Rattus norvegicus: one gene and its partners. The protein of the gene in region 1 purifies or fractionates together with the protein of each later gene. This does not show direct contact. Links are inferred from orthologs where the notes say so. Each region holds a gene or a part of one and is shown on either strand. Other genes may lie near its edges. The genes, in order: Stk24, Cttnbp2, Fgfr1op2, Slmap and Ppp2r1b.

Evidence for each region.
Region 2: the proteins of Stk24 (region 1) and Cttnbp2 purify together in Homo sapiens (affinity purification with mass spectrometry; 3 studies listed by BioGRID and IntAct, with this or other methods). This does not show direct contact. The link is inferred for Rattus norvegicus from reciprocal best matches to the Homo sapiens genes STK24 and CTTNBP2.
Region 3: the proteins of Stk24 (region 1) and Fgfr1op2 purify together in Homo sapiens (affinity purification with mass spectrometry; 4 studies listed by BioGRID and IntAct, with this or other methods). This does not show direct contact. The link is inferred for Rattus norvegicus from reciprocal best matches to the Homo sapiens genes STK24 and FGFR1OP2.
Region 4: the proteins of Stk24 (region 1) and Slmap purify together in Homo sapiens (affinity purification with mass spectrometry; 6 studies listed by BioGRID and IntAct, with this or other methods). This does not show direct contact. The link is inferred for Rattus norvegicus from reciprocal best matches to the Homo sapiens genes STK24 and SLMAP.
Region 5: the proteins of Stk24 (region 1) and Ppp2r1b purify together in Homo sapiens (affinity purification with mass spectrometry; 3 studies listed by BioGRID and IntAct, with this or other methods). This does not show direct contact. The link is inferred for Rattus norvegicus from reciprocal best matches to the Homo sapiens genes STK24 and PPP2R1B.

The regions. Positions count from the first base shown.
Region 1 is NC_086033.1:104,862,968-104,866,942, forward strand, and holds the start of Stk24 (serine/threonine-protein kinase 24), read right to left. Parts: upstream 2,810-3,975; coding exon 2,768-2,809; intron 1-2,767. UniProt on the Homo sapiens protein: Serine/threonine-protein kinase that acts on both serine and threonine residues and promotes apoptosis in response to stress stimuli and caspase activation.
Region 2 is NC_086022.1:47,836,534-47,840,048, reverse strand, and holds part of Cttnbp2 (cortactin-binding protein 2), read left to right. Parts: intron 1-1,800; coding exon of another isoform or gene 1,801-1,840; intron 1,841-3,221; coding exon 3,222-3,425; intron 3,426-3,515. UniProt on the Homo sapiens protein: Regulates the dendritic spine distribution of CTTN/cortactin in hippocampal neurons, and thus controls dendritic spinogenesis and dendritic spine maintenance.
Region 3 is NC_086022.1:181,220,835-181,225,112, forward strand, and holds the start of Fgfr1op2 (FGFR1 oncogene partner 2 homolog), read left to right. Parts: upstream 1-1,463; 5' UTR 1,464-1,780; intron 1,781-4,278. UniProt on the Homo sapiens protein: May be involved in wound healing pathway.
Region 4 is NC_086034.1:1,687,389-1,690,903, reverse strand, and holds part of Slmap (sarcolemmal membrane-associated protein), read left to right. Parts: intron 1-810; coding exon 811-933; intron 934-2,585; coding exon 2,586-2,660; intron 2,661-3,359; coding exon 3,360-3,515. UniProt on the Homo sapiens protein: Associates with the striatin-interacting phosphatase and kinase (STRIPAK) core complex, forming the extended (SIKE1:SLMAP)STRIPAK complex.
Region 5 is NC_086026.1:60,095,545-60,099,059, forward strand, and holds part of Ppp2r1b (serine/threonine-protein phosphatase 2A 65 kDa regulatory subunit A beta isoform), read left to right. Parts: intron 1-1,234; coding exon 1,235-1,467; intron 1,468-2,061; coding exon 2,062-2,209; intron 2,210-3,515. UniProt on the Homo sapiens protein: The PR65 subunit of protein phosphatase 2A serves as a scaffolding molecule to coordinate the assembly of the catalytic subunit and a variable regulatory B subunit.

The DNA of each region.
Region 1 (3,975 bases):
TTGACCAGGCTGGCCCTCGAATTCTGAGATCTGCCTGTCCCTGTCTCCTGGGACTAAAGGCACCTGGCCAGGTCTTACTTTCTAATTCTCTCAACAGACTACAAAACCCAAAGAGGAAAAGAAAATCCCCAGCGAATCTCATCAAAACAGTCAGGTGTACAGCCCGAAACTCCTCACCAAAGATCACTAGAGTTGCCCATCAATCACAGCTACTGAGTGAGGGGGAAAACACACACACACACACACACACACACACACACACACACACACACATTCATCTTATCTTTCTTTCTTCAGCAAATACAACCTAAAACAAAATGGTGTTTAACACTGGCAAAGGCAGAGTGAAGACCTGGGTTTAATCACTGTATGCCTTTCTACACACTACTTTACCTTGGTCCATTCAAACCCTTCCTCATTCACAAAGTTACAAGACGGTATAAGTAACCTCTTCCTCCATCAGACCAGCAATCAACAACAGATATAAAGTGATTAGCAGGCCATAAAGTCCTTATACAAAAGAGTTCCTGAATTCGACTTATTTCCCTCGGGCTGTCTGAGTCTGCTGCCTTGCCGAACTTTGTCCAGTTCTTCTGAGACTGGGTCACAGGATTAACCTTGGCTAGCCTAGAACTCCCTAAGGTAACCCAGGCTGGCCTTGAACTGACAGAAATCCTCCTGCCTCGACCCTACCACACCCCACTTGCCAAAACACTTAACCCAGTTCCTCCTAAACCCTAGCCAGGAGTCTGCAGGGAGTTTGTGGGGCAACAGGGAAGACCTCTTCCTCTCCAGCTTTATCCTAGACAAGAGTCAAGGCCAGGCAAGCCTCTCATGTGATCCTCAAAACAGCTCCTAGGGAGGCAGGCTGCAGCTCCTGACTCCAAGTTGAAAATAAATGTACTGGTTTTTCTTTTCTGGAGGGAAGGGAAGGATAGGAACAGTCTCCAGTAATGCACTAAAAATGTTATCATGTGGTTTGAAGACATAGAGAGGGGCAGGTTGGGCTGTGAAAAGCCAGTATTCCTCCTTGGCAGAACCAGAACAGACAAAAAAAAAAAAAATTAATACTGAGAAAAGGCTATCATCTCCATACCGAAAAACAAAATTAAAAAGGCTTCCTCTCAAGAACACACAGGAAATACACTTTTTAGGTAAAGTTATTGAATTTTTCTTTTCCCAAAGTGAAGAATTTTGGCCCATTCTTTAAAACAAACAAACAAAATGAGAGAGCAGCCCCCAGCTAGGAACCACCTGGTACTGACCTCCCACACATGAATGAAGAAAACGTGGAAAAACGTGCTTTTAATGTGCCAAGAGGTCCTTTTTGCTGTACAGGTAAGAAACTGTCGCCCGGTTGACCCAGGTGTTTTGTCTCTAAAGTCGAACCAAGGCAAGAGTTGTAGGAGGCCGCGGCTGACTTTCAACTTGTGGCCAGCAGCATCAGGTTTTACACCGGGCTCGCAAGGTGAGACTTCAAGAATACTTTGAGAGCACCTTTCCAGTGACACTCAATTCCAACTTTATTATTCCTCAAAAATAAAAAGGGCTCAAGCTCTAATGGCCACTAAAGTGGTAACTTTGAATTCCTATTCTTCCAGAGTTCAAACCTGGACAAAGAAATCCATTTTCCTTCCCGAGGTATGAATTAAAAAAGAAAGAAAGAAAACAGGGATGGAAAATAGTTTCAGAAGAAGCAGAAGCAGTAAGAGGCAAGGCCCGTGCCGCTCAACCCAGGAGCCCGAGAGAAAGCGCCTGCTGCGTCTGTAGACTGATCATCTCGGATATTCTGAGGTTTTATTGTTTTTTGTTTTTTGTTTTTTTTGCTTTTTTAAAGCAAAACTCTTCCGTTCACTCACTTGGGAAAACAAAACTTTGACTGGTCTTGCGGTGTTAATCGCAATCATTTTGTCTGCATTATACGCTCACAAACTTTACAAGAACAGACCAGTGATTGTTTTTCAAAGTACAGAAAAACATCCTCAAAAGCAAAAAAAAAAAAAAAAAAAAAAAAATGTTCGTGCATCCATGTAAACTTGAAATTCAACTCCCTCCCCTCACCGCCCCCTTCCCCTCCAAAGAAAAAGTCACTGGCGAACTAAGAAGATACAAAGAGTGCAGGGAGAAGCAAGCTAGCACACAGCTGCTTTGGATGCCATCGTGTCTCAAAGTGAAAGTCTAGCAGCGGAGACCTGGCATCCGAGGGGTGAACCTGGGCTCTGCACGCCAGGGCACTCGCAGAGGTGTGGGTTCCGCCTCCCGGGTTTGCAACCTCGCACTTTCCACACCAGAACTACAGGCTTGGACGCGAGGTTACACCTTCCTGCACCCCGCCCTGCGGCCCGCCCGGCTGGGACCAGCCGGGGCGCGCTCCCCGTCCCGCGCTCCCGTCTCCCGTCTGGGGGTTCTGGGGAGGGACTCTTGGGGACTGAAGACCCTGGAATCCCGCTGTCCCTGTGCCAGGCCCAAACAGGGCCCAGGCACCCAAACGGGGCCTCCAAGGACACTAGTTCAGACTCCTGCCCCGAATGAGCGCTTGGCCTGAGCGTCCGAGTTGGGGAGCACAAAGCTCCTGCACCCCACCTCGACCCGAGGCCGCAGACCCCACGGCCCCTCCACGTGCACACACCCGAGATCCCGGCTGCTCCGGTCGGCGAAGATCCCGGAGAAACGGGCCCGGCCGTTGGGGGGAGGGGGGGCGTGTTGACACCGCCAAGTTGCCCGCTTCCGCCACGGCCCGCAGCCCGACCCGGACGCCCCAGCCTACCTGCATGCCCGGCAGGCCCGACTGCACCGGGGAGTGGGCCATGGCTCTCGGCGCCGCCACTTCCTGGCCCGGGACGCGCGGAGTCGCGCGGCGAGCAGGCCCGGGGCCGCGCGCAGCCCTCGGGTGGCGGGGCGGGCTCTGGAGCCCGAGGCCACCGCACCCCGGGGACGGTCTCAGCGAAGGTTGGCGGGCCGCGGCCCCATACACCGAGCCTGGGGCGGGCAGCGGGGACAGCGGGAATGTCTCCTGATTGCGGCTGTTTCTCCTAGGCTCCCGCCGCTGCGCCGCCGCGGTGCTCGGGTCGAGCCGGGCGGCCTGGGCCCGCGAGCGCTGGCCGCCTGGAGCCGAGTGGGCGCGCACAACCCGCCGCGCCCCGCCCCGGCCCGGCCCCCGCGCCCGCCCCCGCGGCCCGGCCGGGGACCCCGCCCCGCGCTTCCGGGAGGGGGAGGGGGAGGGGAGGAGCCGCCGGGCGCCCTAGGCCGCAGTGGGGCCTCCCTGCGGGCGCGCGGGCGGGGTCCTCGGGGCTCAGCGGGCGCTCTCCGGGTGCTGCGTGGCCGGGTCCTTCGGAACCGCGGGGTGGGCCTCGCGCGCGGAGCAGAGCTGAGCCCGGGGGAGCGGAGAGCACCACCCACTCCTACTCTTCCCTCTTACCCGCCCCGGCCCTCCAGAGGCCAGAGTCTGCACTCGGGGTGTCCCCAGAGGGGCCTAGCCTGGGGCCTGTTCCAAAAGACTCGGGCGGAGCGTCCTCGCTGTCCGTACGAAGTTTCCAGCCAGATCAAGGAGGAAACCCCAAGGGTAGAGAGGGCAGTTTGTGTGCAGTGCCTTGGATACTGAACTCAACCTCGCCTGGGCCGCCGGGTGTGGAAACTTAGCTGGACGGAGGAAGGGCTGGGCCCCCGCCATCTCTGCGCTGCGCACAAGAAGGGGAAAGTGAGGTGCGGAGGGGTGACGGAGGAAGAGAAGACAATGGAAGGAAACCACGGTCTGGACTCTTACCCAGCCCTCCCCTCGCTTTACTGCTCCTAAGGCCGCGGGCCCACTCTGGGCACCAGCTCTGCCCTCCTTCTAAACTGTTTCTTCTGCAGCAAACAAGGACCGATGGAGTGAATCCATGCGCCTCCAGGAAGTACTGTATGTACTAGTGACAAATAGGAAGTGGTCTAAGAGTCAGAATCGCTCTGCCTCGGGCCATAGGGACCCTGAGACCT
Region 2 (3,515 bases), on another chromosome or scaffold:
AGACTCTTTATTCCTCTTTGCCCTGGAACCTGGGATCTTTCTCTTGAGATGCCCTGTGTCCCTGCCACCTCTGTCTGTAACAGTGAGGTGAAATCCCAGTGAAAAGCCGGAGTGGCAGAGGGGTCTCATTTTAATGGGTTGCGTTCTAAAGTACGCTAACCAGAGGTGACCTCATAACAAATCATGAACTCTTAAAATAGTGTTTTAAATTGTAAATGAATTAGAAATTCTTACCAATTTGTCAAATGAATATATAATATATAATGTATAATATACACATATATTTATATATTATATATGATATATTCCAATGGTTACATGAAGAAGGTTAAAATAGGAATCACTCCAGGCAACTGAATCCCCAAACCTTTGCAAATTTTTCTGTTTCCCTTCCTTCCTTCCTTCCTTCCTTCCTTCCTTCCTTCCTTCCTTCCTTCCTCTCTTTCTTCTTTGTGATTGTTTTTCTTGTTGATATTATTTATTTTATTACTATTATTTATTTTATGAATTCCATTTCATTTGGTTCAGACTTTTTTCCTTCCTTAAAGATATTTTCTAAAGTATACTCGTGTATGATTGGCTTGAATGCTAAATCGCAAAATCAGAATGGTCTGGGCTGTGACCTTAACCCTCTCCACCCTCTGAAGCTGGTGCCAGAAGCTGTTCTCAGCTCCTTTTCCTCTGCCCTTGCATGTCCCCATGTTTTGTGGCCTGCTATGCAAATCCTCACCTTTACTAGCGTTTGCCTACAATGCCGTGTAGCCGAATGACTTTCTAACACCTGTAGAGTAGCTGTGTGGACTCGGGTTTATTCTGTCCTTAACTAATCCAGTTAATCACATATTACCATTTCTCTCATGGCTGAGAATTTCAGATGAATACTAATGTTTAGTGAGGTCTTTCTTTTAATTCCAACATATAAGTAACAGGAGTTCTTAAAATAAATTGTATTGGGAGAAAACTGGAAATTATAGTAAAAAAATAACATTTGTTTAAATTTAAGAGCTTAAAGTTTACAATATTTTCAAAACGTTTTCTTTTGTGAAGATTTAGAGACCATTTTTTTTCAGTCCTCCAAAGAAACTGATACTGCTTTCTTTGAATCTGACTGGAAAAGCAACAACACTTCATGACCTTATGATTAATAACATTTTTGAATAAAGCCTTTTACTGCTCTCAAGTGGGGTCTTCCAGAAAATTATACACATAATTGAATATTTCCATATAAACCCATATAAAACAATTGGAAATGTGAATTTGTATTGTCTCTTACAAAGCCTAGAACTGTGGTTTAAACTAAAAGATGAGCAAACTTTAGTATGTACACATTGGTATTCATGGAAGACTGTCAAGAACCTAGATTCCTTGAATGAGATGTAAAGAAGAGATGAGTGTGTGTGCACGCATGTGTACAGATGTGCGTGTGTGTATGCATGTGTGCATGTACATGTGTGCCTGTGTGCATGAGTGCGGTGTGTGTGTGTGTGTATGTGTGTGTGTGTGTGCACGCGCGCGCAGATGTTTGCGTGGGTGCATGAGTGTGTGTATGCATGTGTACAGGTATGTATGTGTGTATGAGTGTGTGTGTACATGAGTATGTATGTGTGTGTGTTTATAGCATGAAGCAGACCCCCCCATCCCTGTTCTGCTGGGGACGGTAGTGTAATGCTTTCTTATTGCTTGTTAATTACAGTCAAGGTGTCCTACCTTGGTGTTTATAATTTTCTGTCTATCATCCATTTCTAATAAGTACTGATTTAATTTTTGTGGGCCTGTTTTTTTTGTTTGTTTGTTTTTAAGAAAATACAAAAGGTAAAATGTACCAGAGAGGAGCCTTCTTGTAAGTATGAAGTAAAAATACTACTTTTCTAAGAAGACCTAATCAATATGGATGGGAAAATATAAAGATTTGAGAAATATTGAATTTTATAAACATTTTAATTGTCTGTCATTGCTGTCCTGATATGATAAAACAATAAGTAATCCGTGGATTCAAATTATTAGTTGTAAAGATATAATTTTGAGATTCAATCTTCCATGGATTTCTATTGGCATAAATGGCCTCTCTGACTTATTTTTATAAAGAATTTTCAATATTCAGAGGAGTTTCTTTGATATGTACTTTAAATATATCCTGAAAGAAGTAAAGCCAAAAACTTGTGATTAATCATAAGAATTGAATATTACATTCATATTAGTGTAACTGATACTGATAGCTATATAGCTATTCCCCATGGAAAGTCTGCATGAAGAATATATATGTGTAGTTATGTACAGAACTGCTGAAAAGTACTGGGGCTCACTCAATGTATTTAACCCGAAAGGACATAATTATCAATTAAATAAACATGTGTACTTTACTGTTTTTACAGCCTTTTGATCAAGGAAGGATTCAGAAAATTTTCCAGGCTATATGCAGCCGACTTCACACTCTTAACAGATTCTCTTCTAAAACTGCTAAATACTGATGAGAAAACTAACCATGATCATCTTGCAATCTTTGTTTAAAGCTGTGTGGTAGAGCACCCTGCTTTGTTGGCCAATCTCAAGTTTGTTAGTCCTGCAGTGAAGATGGCGAGAGGTGGCCGTTTTCAAAGTTTTCAGAGTTACTGAACTATGTTCTGTCGTACAATACAGCCATTTATATATATTGTATTTCTGTCAGCTTTTAACACCCATATTTGTTTCTTAGATTTGAAATGAAGGAATAGGACAAACTCCTTGATAGAGTGAGGCCTATTTCCTGGTTTATACAAATAATTATCTTAGAAGCATTGTTGAAGAAACTCTTTGCAGTTATGGTGGTATCTCACACTTACTTAATTTACATTGCCATATCAGTATTGAAATTAAGGTAACCTTTATATAATCTTAAAATTCAAAATGATCTTAAATTCTAAATAGAAATTTAAGTTTGTGGAATGTGGTAGCCGTCTCGGCCTCCTAAAAGCAATTATTTCTTTAACTCTTTTTTCTTGTGCCAAACTGACGACTAAAAATAACATGCCCCCCCATCAAGGTTAATTTAATTAGCACCAGATAGAAAGTCTGAAAATAACAGTACGGATTTATGCTAAGACAGTATTAACAGATTGATAATGTTAGAAACCATGTAATCTTCTAGAAATACGTGTTCCTGTCTCTGTGTGTGTGATTGAAAAAAGAATGGTAGTTTCTGTCTCTTCTTCCTGCTGTCTAACTAGGGTCACTTTAACCTACAGGCTGGTCACCCTCCCTAACCCCTTTGCTAATGAGTGGTGGTCCTGCCCCCCTGGCTGGCAGGCCCACCCTTCTTCAGCAAGCTGCTGCCCAGGGAAATGTCACTCTATTATCAATGCTGCTTAATGAAGAAGGACTGGACATAAATTACTGCTGTGAAGATAGCCATTCTGCCTTGTATTCTGCTGCTAAGAATGGACATACAGGTAAAAAGACAAAACAAACCAAAACTGAACAGACTGACAATGCCTTACCTTAACACACTTGGCAAGAGGATGAAAGACCAAAGGGGACTT
Region 3 (4,278 bases), on another chromosome or scaffold:
TATTTATCTCAAGTGATTTCTCACAGGTGTGTTTTCCTCAAGATTTGATAGGGATCCTAAGTTCCAAGAATTTTGTGCAAAAAAGGGCAAGGTAAAGGTGCCAGTTCAAGGAATAAGCTACGTCATACCATGCAGTCAATTTACCACATGAAATTAGCTCATACTTCTTTTTCTTTTACAAAGCACTTAAAATAGAAGAAAACATTTATACGCATTGTATTTGATTCCTATGCCCACAAACCACAGATCCATTCTTCAAATGTATTTATGCTGACCCTTCTTAGGGGCCGAGGAAAATCCACAGGAAAAGACTGACAGCAAAAGTATAACCCCAAATACACACACATCTCCTAAGGTAACTTGCATATTGGGTCTTCCTATGGCCCAAACTCTCATCCTCTCCCTCAACTTGCAATACACTACAGTAATTCACCATGTAGACCAGAACAGATGCTATCTCATGCAGATGAGGAGGAAACACTTCTAAAACTTTTATATATATATATATATATATATATATATATATATATATATATATATATATACACACACACACACACATATATATACATGTATACACACACACACACGTGGTGCACTGCCCCGCTTCGCTCTTAAAATTTTAGAGCAAAAAAAATTTTTTTTTAAAAATCTACATTCTAAAAGCACATGGGAAACAGAGCAAGTGTAACGAAGCATCTTAGGGACCCGCTATTACCTCCGGCTGCTCTGGAGCGCACCGCCTCTCCCCGCCCAAAGTCCCTGTCTGCAACCTTCTGCACACACCTGGCTGCTAGGTAGAGGGGTGGGGGGGGGGGGACAAGGTGAGTGGACGGGAAAGCCCTCGGCGTCGAGGTTCGCTTACTTTCGTGCCTGGTCCTGTAGTGAGCGAACGGAGGCTAAGGGAGAAGGCAGACGAGGGTGGGTGGGGAGTCGGCGCACAGACGGTCTGGTACCACCCGCAGAAGACTGACTGCCCGGCTCATCGCCCAACACTCCGGCTTCTTAAACGCAGGAGCGCGCGCATGCGCGTGCACCCACCAAAGCGCACTCGGGCTCGCGCGTGCGCACGGCGCTCTCGCACAGTCCCGCCATCTTCCCCTTCCCCTTAGAGGCTACCAGAGGCCGAACCGGAAGAGGGCGGAGCAAGTGAGGGGAAAAAAAAGAAGGCTCTAACGATTGTTCCCAATCGACCGTTGGGAAGAATGGTCAGGACCACCTGAGAGAACCCCCAAAGTACTAGCCGCAGCCGGGATAAGCCGGCCTCGGCTCTGCACAGGCAGAGCGCACCCACTCAAGCTCCCCTCTCCGCCTTCAGTCCAGACCGGTAGCCCCTCGGAAAACGCGCGAGAGAGTGCGAGCCGCCAGAGCAAACCCGTGAGAGCAGAAGAGGGAAGCCCCGCCCCCTACCCATCCACCAATCAACAGCCAGCCGCCTGCAGGGGGCGGGGCTTTCGGTAACTCGCGGAGGGAAGTCTCGCGAGGCTTGTCGCTGTGTGGCTGCCAGTAGCGGAGGTTCTGGTCCGCCCGGGATGGAGCCGAGGCAAGCGGGCTGCCGGATCCTCCCTGCCGCTGTGTGAGCAGGGCTGTGTGTCCGCTCGCTGAGCAGGCGCAGCGAGGCCGCGGAGAGCACTCTCTGGGCGCCTCCATCTCGCGGGTGGTGGTCGCCGTCTCTGACGGCTGAGGGGGACTGAAGCTGAGTGGAAAAACACGAGTGGGTGAACCTCTGAGCCGGGCTCCCTGTCTCCGTGCTCTCACTGAGCTCCTGCCGGGAACAGAGGTACGGAAAGTTCCATGAAAACCCCCGGGCCTGCAGGCCACGGGACACCCTTTCCGGGTTTCCTTTCCTGCCACTCCGGAGCTCCGTGGGCGGTGGCTGGAGGGACTTGTCGGTGTTGAGTTTGCCTCAGCGCACTCGACCGCGTTTGCGACTGGGACTTAGCCACGATCCTGAGGGAGCTGCTGAGATCGTTTGAATCCCTCAGCGCCCTTCCAAATTCTGTTCCAAGTTGGAACAACTGGCTTCCCTCAGACAGATGTTTCAGAAGCTCCAAGTGTGTGCTTTCCACCATTTTCAGGAACAGTGCAGTTCCTCTGCTTCCAGAGTGATGAGTGGGGGCTGGATGCTTATTTGTGTGTGTGATCCGCACGCATTCTTTCTTTATCCCATTCTTTGAAAGACTCATGCCGTATATTGCCACTGTCATCTTTGACAAGAGTGAGGACCCTGTCTCTTTTCTTCCGGTCCCTGATCGTAGTACCGTCCCCCTTTCCAGAACACGGACCTCAGAATTGTCTAAGGCTCTGTATTCCACTCACACTGCACCAGATTTTTTGCTTCTTTCACTGTGACTATGACAGTTGCCCTTCCTCCACCCCAAACCGGTGTGCCCGCCTCAGCCTTCCATACTTACTGTGAAATGCATTCTCTCTCCTTAAACTTTTTCAAGTTCTAATTTAAGCCTACCGATCCGTCAGGGCTTTTTACCGTCCTATCTTAAATCATATTTTACCTCTTCAGGGCCATCCTGTTGCCGCCCCTAATTTTTTACCATCCACTTATGCCCGGCTGTTGGGGGTTTCCCAAGCATACCTCACATTTCCGCCACTGCTGTGTGAACCCAGATAGTCTGTTGGGATGCTTGGTTTTCCTTCTGTCTCATCGTCTCTCAAAACCCTACGTCTTTTTAGACTCCCTCGGGTGACATCGATAACACAGTGAACTCCCAGAGCTCTTGACATAATTCCGCAGTATTTATTAGGATGCATTATTTGTTCAGTTACCTGTCTCTCCTGCCAGCTTGAACTTGAATCTGGAATCGTGTCTTACTCATGTTTAAAACAAATGCTAGTTCAGTGTTGGCTCATAGCAAGCATTATTATTATATACTATTTATAATGTAATCATTCTAAAGAATTTGCTATAAAAATTCTGTCTCTTAAAAATCAGAATATTAGAACCCAAAAGCCCTTACCTGCTTTGAGCATGAACATGAGCAGCCTTGTAACCCTAACACTTATGTAATTAATTGTACTTTTGCTCTTAGTGGATGGAGATTGTATATAATATCAAATGCACATGCATGCACATACCCTATGCATTCAAATGATTTTATATTATGTTAGTATCATGTTTAACAACTAGGATCTTATGGGATGCAAATGTTTTTGATAGTGCTCAGCATAAGAAAAATTCCAACTCTTGGCCATATGTTAGAAATAACTGGCTTGGGTTAGGTTAGTTCTTTTTGGGATTGTTAATTTGAACACACAACATAGCCACAATTTTAGGGAGTGTATAAATTGGTCTTGATTCAATGTGCTCTTTCTCTCAAATTGTGTTCCTTTCAACTTTAAGAATTGATTTTCTTCATAAAGCTCCAAGTATATTAATATTCAAGGACAGTAGGAATTTTCTGTACTTTCAAATAGTGTATGTGCTGAACAAGATGCTCATTTTTATATGTTCTTTATAAACATTTTGTTTGTTTGTTTATGGGTGGTTGTTGGAGGCTCTACATAGTCCTAGCTGTCCTAGAACTCACTAGGTAGACCAGTCTGGCCTTAAGTTCACAGATAAATCAACTGGCTCTGCCTCCCTAGTGCTGGGATTAAAAGTATATACTCCCATAACTGGCTATATACATTCTTGATCTCTTAAAATATTTCTCTAAGGACTTGAAACACATTTTTATGTTGCTATTTTCATGTGCCAGTTAATATAATATTATTGCATATTTAATAACACTAGAAGTACCAACCTGAGCAGTAACAATTTAAATTTTTGACATCTAAAAACATGTCATATCATACCATGTTTTTGTATCTCCAGAAATTGGATGATTAGTAGATTTGCTAATAAAAGAAACAAGAATTACTTGAATTTCTTTAGATTTTTCTTAACTAAAAGCTAAAAAGTATCCAGCTGGCAATTGCTGCTGTGGGTAGGTGGTGGTTTCTCTTTAATGAGCAGCAGAATGTTCTGGACCATCTGTAAGAATCTGACTGCAGATGTCTTAGTGGTAGAGTGGGTGAAAATGTGGCTAAGCAGGAAGCAAAAGAAGAAAGAAAACTTGTTTCTTAAAGGCATACCTCTGTAATTTGAGCCTACCTGTTTAAAATAATTTAAGAGTATTATGACTAGTTAAGACAAAACTGAAAAAATAGGTAAATAAATTGAAAGTATTCCTTTTTTAAATTGGATTCACTTTTTTACTGTGTAACAAAATGTGGAAAATATCTCTCCCACTTTACTAGTCAAAAAGGGAGAGAAACATC
Region 4 (3,515 bases), on another chromosome or scaffold:
GAAGTGCCTCCTCTCCCTGCTGAGCCTGCTCGTCCTCACGTTCTTTCTTTTTTTTTTTTTTTTTTTCCGGAGCTGGGGACCGAACCCAGGGCCTTGCGCTTCCTAGGCCTAGGCAAGCGCTCTACCACTGAGCTAAATCCCCAACCCCCTCACGTTCTTTCTTAAAGATGAATTTCTTTTGTTTTTCCATTTTTGTTTTAGCTCCAGGTAGTTTTTCTTGTCTTATTCTTGAATTTCAAAGTCGATGGAGAAGGAGCTGGCAGAGGGTTGGTTGCTCTGGTAAATTAGGCATTTGCTGCCAAGCCTGATAACCTGAGTTCAATCCTTGGGAGCCCCATGGGGGAGAGAAAGAGACAGCTTCCTTACGTTGTCTTCTGACCTCTATATCTGCACTGTGGCATGCAGGCATGCATCTCTCTCTGTCTCTCTCTGTCTCTCTCTCTCTCTCTCTTTCACACACACACACACACACACACACACACACACACACACACACACACACACCAATAACCGTAGTAGTAAGAACATGATTGAAAACTGATGGAAACAGTGGTGTGCCTATCTCCTCACTGGATTTCAAGTTTACAGGAGATGAACATCAATTATGTGTATGTTAATTTCTATCTTTTATAGTACTAGTATCTGTGTTAACTAATGTGCTTACTCTAATTTGCTTCTAAGTTTTATTTAACTCAGTTGTGCCATGTTGCAAACTATGTATGTCTAAACATGAAAGAGTGCCAGACACTAGTTACAGAGAATATAGTGCAGTACTAACACTTGCTTTTTAAAAAAACGTGTTTTTGTCAGATGACTTACAGGGTACCCAGGCAGAAACTGAGGCCAAACAAGACACTCAACATCTTCGGAAAGAATTGGTGGAAGCCCAGGAGCTAGCTAGAGCAAGTAAACAAAAATGCTTTGACCTTCAAGGTGAGACGAAGATCCCTGCAGCCCCCTGGGGTCCTGTGAGGCAGAGTAGGTGTGATGGCACAAGAGCTCAGAGCCCAGAGGCATGGCAGGGAGAGCCAGGGCTGGGCTGTTCTCAGACATCACTTCAGCTGGTGAGAGGGCTATCACAGCTGCTCTCTGCCTTTGTAATTGTGAGGAGCACAAGAGCTCTACCGACAGAAGAGCTCTGTGCTTCATTGTTAGTCTGTGCTCTTTGCAGGCTGAATGTCCCTTATCTCAAATGCTCAGGTCAAAGGATTCAGATTTCATAGCATTTCATATTGCACATGTGTTTGGATGTGAGATGCTCCATCCACCAGTGTGGATCCACACAAGCCTGGCTCAGGAGGGAACCGTGTAAATTAAGTTAGTGCTCACTTTTCAGGGTGGTTATTTAACAGGAAGGTTGCAGACAGGGTTCAAAATATGGAATCTTCTCAGCTGAGGCCAGTGGTCTATGTAGAGGGGAAAGGGTGTAAGTTTGAGGCCAGTCTGGGTAGTTAGATGCCCTCAAAAAAAAAAAAAAAAGTCTTTTTCATCTCAGCCACTTCTCTTCCTCGTGGCCTATAATCATCCGCCTCTGGAACCATTGCCCTTTGGCAGTTAAAGTCTTGGAGAGTCCCAAGATCCAGCCCATGGATCCTTATGGCACCCCTAAGTTTTATGAGATTCCCTTCCTGGGCAGAACAATTCAAATGCCAAGATGAAGCTGTGAATTCCTAACTACTTCCTTTCCTGATTCTTAAAGACATGATTGCTGATGAGCTGTTAGGACTGTGGCTTATCTTAAGGAAGGCCAGCCCAGTGCATGTGGCCCTGGCTTTCAGCCACAGAACTGCAGAAATTAAAAAGTAGGCAGTTGTCTCTCTTGACTTTATTATAGGATACAAACTAATGTTTAATTACAATGAAAAATATTTATCAATCAGCCATTGTTTTTATTTACTATGTGTTTGACAATAAACACAAGAATATTCCATTTTGGGGTTTTTGTTTTGTTTTTTTGTTCGTGGTTGGGTAGAGTTTTTTTGTTTTGTTTTGAGATAGGGTCTCAATACATAGCCTTTGCTAGCAAAGGGACTCACTACATAGATGACAACTTGCTTGAATTCACAGAGATCTGCCTGCCTCTGTTACCTCAGTGTTTGGGTTAGATTAAGTATGCAGTATGATACCCAGTCCTTAATATGATAATTTTTTAATGGTACCAGGTATTGTACCTAGGCCTTTGTGTAAGCACTCTGCCACAGAGCTATCACAACCCTCTAACATAGCCTAGGCTGGCCTTGAACTTGTGAGACTCCTTGTCTTAACCGTCCCCGTATTTGGGATTATAAACCTGTGCTATCTTGCATTGCTCAAAATGATAACTAACAATTATGTGAATATTTCTTGTGTAAGAAAAGCCTACTGGTATTCAGTGTATGAAATTATGGAACTAGATTTTATAGATTTCTTACTTACTATTGTTTTGTGTTCTAAAATCTTAATGGCTAATACTGATAATACTTAACATCTAACCTTGTGTCTCTCCATAAACTTTAAAAGACAAATTTTAGAAATTTCTAGTTGCACAATTATGAATGTTTTTCATTAACTCACAAAATTAGATACACTGTGTTTTTGCCTTTTAGCTCTTTTGGAAGAAGAACGAAAAGCCTATCGAAATCAAGTTGAGGAATCAGCTAAACAAATCCAGGTTCTTCAAGGTATGGGGCTCCCACGACTGTTAAGACAGCTGTGGTTATGGTTGTGTTCAGTGATTGCAAAGGAATGGAAAGTAAGGTTGCAGAGGGTCCTCAGTTGCCATGGCTCTGTTCTTCCCTAGAAACCGTCGTACTAGGCCCTTGGACAGTTGGCCTTCAAAGCAGACAAAGGGAGGGACTGTCCCAGTAACCCATCATAGACACTGGAGTTGAGAAGGCAGGGTCATGCTAACTGGAGTGCTGCATGCCTGTAATCCAGCACGTAAGAGGCAGGATGGTCATGAGTTTAAGGCCCACCTCAGCTGGGTAATGACTCTGAGTCCTTCCTGCCTCAGCTAAAACTGTCTCACTGCCTCCCTCCCTACAAAATATTTTCATCGGCAAGAAGATAGAAAAATATATATTATATACATGCATATATAAATCCCTTTGTACTCAATGTTCGTTATTTTATATATGAATGAAGGCATTAGAAAAAAGAATAAATGTCAACATACTAAAATAAATTTACTTTAGGTTTTTGGCTTTTTTCTTTTACATCTGTGTTCTGGTATTTTCTGTACAAACATGTGCAGTTTAATCAAAAGAAAGTGAGGAAAAAGAGCTGTGAGAGTGAGGCTGCACAGTGGCTGAAACCTGTAATGTGCTGTAATTGCATTCCTAATCCCTGTGACTTGGGAAATGATAAATACACTTTTACAGTCCAGCTGCAGAGGCTACACATGGATATGGAGAATCTCCAGGAGGAAAAGGACACTGAGATTTCTAGCACGAGAGATAAATTGCTGAGTGCTCAAGATGAGATTTTGCTCCTTCATCAAGCAGCAGCAAAGGCTGTGTCTGAGCGGGACACTGACT
Region 5 (3,515 bases), on another chromosome or scaffold:
CCCCATTACAGTGCAGGCTCCTTTGGAGCAAGGTGCCCTGTGTGCTCGTTCAGCACAGCAGCAGTCTTTGATGGGAAGTGAGTTTCAGGCTGCACGGGAGTGTTTTGAGCTCAGAGCTGACAGAGTATAAAACCCGGGGCTAGTGAGCAGAAGCATCTCGGGCTCAGAAACGGGCACTGGGAAACAGAATTCAAATGAAGGGACAACTCCTAAGCCATTTCCCGGAGGTTGGCCATCTCCTGTGGTAGTTCTAGACTGTGTCACAGTAGGCAGGGGACAGATCGTGAAAGACTGACTAGTAAGAAGCGGTGTTTTTTCAGGGGACCTCTGACACACCCTCTAGGAAAGCACAAAGCTCTCTACTTTTTTGAACCACATTAGGCAGCACACTTCTTCTTTTCAAGTCCCAATCGTCTTTCTTGGTCAGTCTGCCATGGAGTTTTGTTCTAATTTCACAGCTTTAGCTTCTGCTCAGTCAAGTGGGATCAAATACAAATTTAGAAAGGCAGCTAGAGATTCAGAGGAGCAGCCCGTCTCCACTGTCCACCAGGCCGCATCGCTAGGTTACTGATGGGCCAGACCTTGAACCTCCTCTTGTCCTTTATGTCTCTGGATCTGCAAGGTCACCACTACCTCTGCATTTGTTTCCGATTGTCTGAAACTCCCATTCTTTGGCTCATGGAAAGATTCTGAATACATTTGGGGGGAAAGTGGTGTAGTCAGCTTTTTATTGGTTAGGAAAGTTGGGGCTCTTGAGCTCTCCTGGACAGGGTTGTTCACACCTCCAAGAATGGTAGGATGGTGCAGGGAAGGGCATGGACTCTGTACCTGACAAGAATTGACCATGCAGTGTGGCACCCACGGCTGGCCGTGGTTTTGGACTGGTTCCTAAGGAAGTAGCAAACTCCTGTCTCAATGTGGCTGCAAAGCATTTCAACTCCAGCTCCAAATAATCGTGATTCTGTGTCAAGTCTCTTCCACAGTGTCATTTGTAGACACCATCTGGGAATTGCCATCTGGGACATTCCATCTTGGCTTTTCTACAGAAGTCGTGTCTTCAGGTTGGCCACACCATATGTTATCACTGTGTTATCTGAAAGTAACCATTTGGTATGATGTAGTTAACATTCTGGTTATATGTACCGTTTCCCTTCAGTCACATAAAAGGTGGCATTCTGTGTCTAACCTGATTTAGTAAGTTGTCATCTCTGGTTTTCCTTTTCGATCTCTGCAGCCTCCTTTGGAAAGTTTGGCTACGGTGGAGGAGACTGTCGTTCGAGACAAGGCTGTGGAGTCCCTGAGGCAGATCTCCCAGGAGCACACTCCCGTTGCCCTGGAAGCTCATTTTGTACCCCTGGTGAAGCGCTTAGCAAGTGGGGATTGGTTCACATCTCGCACATCTGCATGCGGTTTGTTCAGCGTTTGCTACCCCAGAGCTTCAAATGCTGTCAAGGCAGAGATCCGACAGTAAGGCAGTTTTTAGTGTTTGGGACTCACAGCAGGGTTTACCCAGCTCTCTGTTTCCAACAGAGCTTCATACGAGGCTAGTGGGCTTGGCGATCTTTTCCATGTAGTTACATATACTAATGGCTTATTTTGTTCATGCGCATGTGCAAGCATATGTGTGTGTGTGTGTTTGTGTTTGCGCGCGCATACATGCATGCATGTGCGTGCATATTTCATGTGGCAGCCTCTGGTGTTGATCTTCAGGTACCTTTCTTCCTTTTCTTTGACTCAGGGTTTCTCATTAGCCTTGAATTCACTTCATAGGCTAACCTACCTGGCCTGCACACTTTTGGGGGACTGCCTGCCTCTGCCTCCCATCTTGCCCCTCTAAGGTTATAGGCACTCCCACTGTGTTCAGCTGTGTAAGAGGGTCCTGGGGACGATGAGTGGGCTTCATGCCCGGGAGGTAGACACTTTCCTGTCTAAGCTGTCTTTCTAGTCTTTTCTTACCCCTGTGAGTAGAAACCTAGTCATTGATGTTTATAAGAGACTGAAAGGTACTTGGTGCTTGCTTGCCCATGTGTATGACAGGAAGTACCTTATTTTATGCTGCAGGCACTTCCGTTCCCTGTGCTCGGATGATACACCAATGGTGCGACGTGCTGCTGCTTCCAAATTGGGTGAATTTGCAAAAGTTTTGGAATTAGACAGTGTTAAAACTGAAATTGTTCCATTATTCACGAATCTGGCTTCAGATGAACAGGTAACTGGAGACCTTTGATGCTAATGTAGGATTGTTTTGCAACATAATACTCAGTTCCTACCTGGTGTTTCTTTCTTAATTAGGCCCCACTTTTCTTTGTTAGTAGCTGTTAAAAGGAAGAGTTGGAGAAGAATTGGGTTCCATCACTAGGAAGCCAGGGCTGCATCAGGGACAGGTGTCTTGCAGAATTATGGGCTCTGTTACATATGGAGATGAAGCATTTCCTGGAATTCTGACTTTGTTAATTTCTGCATTAGAGTATGGTTGTACTGCACACAACAGTGACCTTAAATCCAAGGGTCTGGGTTTCCTTGGTGTAGAAATGAGAAAAATTGGGAATTCCTAAATTCTTTAATACAGTTGTTTGTCAGTACAGAGTGTGGGGATGGTTCTAGGATCATGTAAGAGTGCTTATCTTAGATTTCAGGTCCCATATGTAAAATGGTGTACACAATCTCCAGAACACAGACACTCAAGGAAGTGGAAGTCCAGCTAGTTTATGAAGCTTGGTTAAGGCTATATGTAGCTAGTTGAGTGTACATAGGCTTTAGCCACAGCACGGGGGCCGGTGTGGTTTCTTTGTGCTGGGATAGGAGTAGGCAGGCGTAGAATCTTTATTTGGAATTTAGCTGGTAATATTTCCCATGATGTAATTTGGCATTTTCTTTTGTCTCCTATACTTCCTGTTTGCAGATTTTAAAAATTTTTTTATTTATTTTTTTGATGAAGGCCAGCCAGGAAATGCTTTGAGGGGCCTATAGTTCCTATGAAACTCCACTCCCATGGTCCAAAAGCAGCCAGAGTATGGGAACCAATGGGCATGAAACTTACCCATGTCCTAGGTGGGAGCTGGCTGTGAGCATTTGGTGCTCAGAAAATACTCCATGTATTTTATTTTGGAGAAATGGAAATACACTGTGCTCCCTCTGACTGTGTATAGAAGACCTGCTCCTGGCTTACCCGTGGACAGAAACATTAAGTACCTACATATATATATATATCTATGTAAGGCATGGTTCTTATGTTAACTGCTGTGTTAAAGGCAGACAGGGTCCTTACTCTCATGGAACTTACATTATAATGGAGGAAAACAAACATGATAAAAATCAGGCATAAATGTTATAAAAATCAATGTAACACAGTAGAACACTGGCTGCTAGTCAGCAGAACTCTGAAGAAGTGACAGGCAGGCAGGAGACAACTAACATTGGAACATGGTGGTTGAAAGAGTCCAGGGAAGACAGGAGTGGAGAAGGAAGGTGGGAGCAGATCATAGCCCAGGGAAGACTTTGCAGTTTTGATTTTC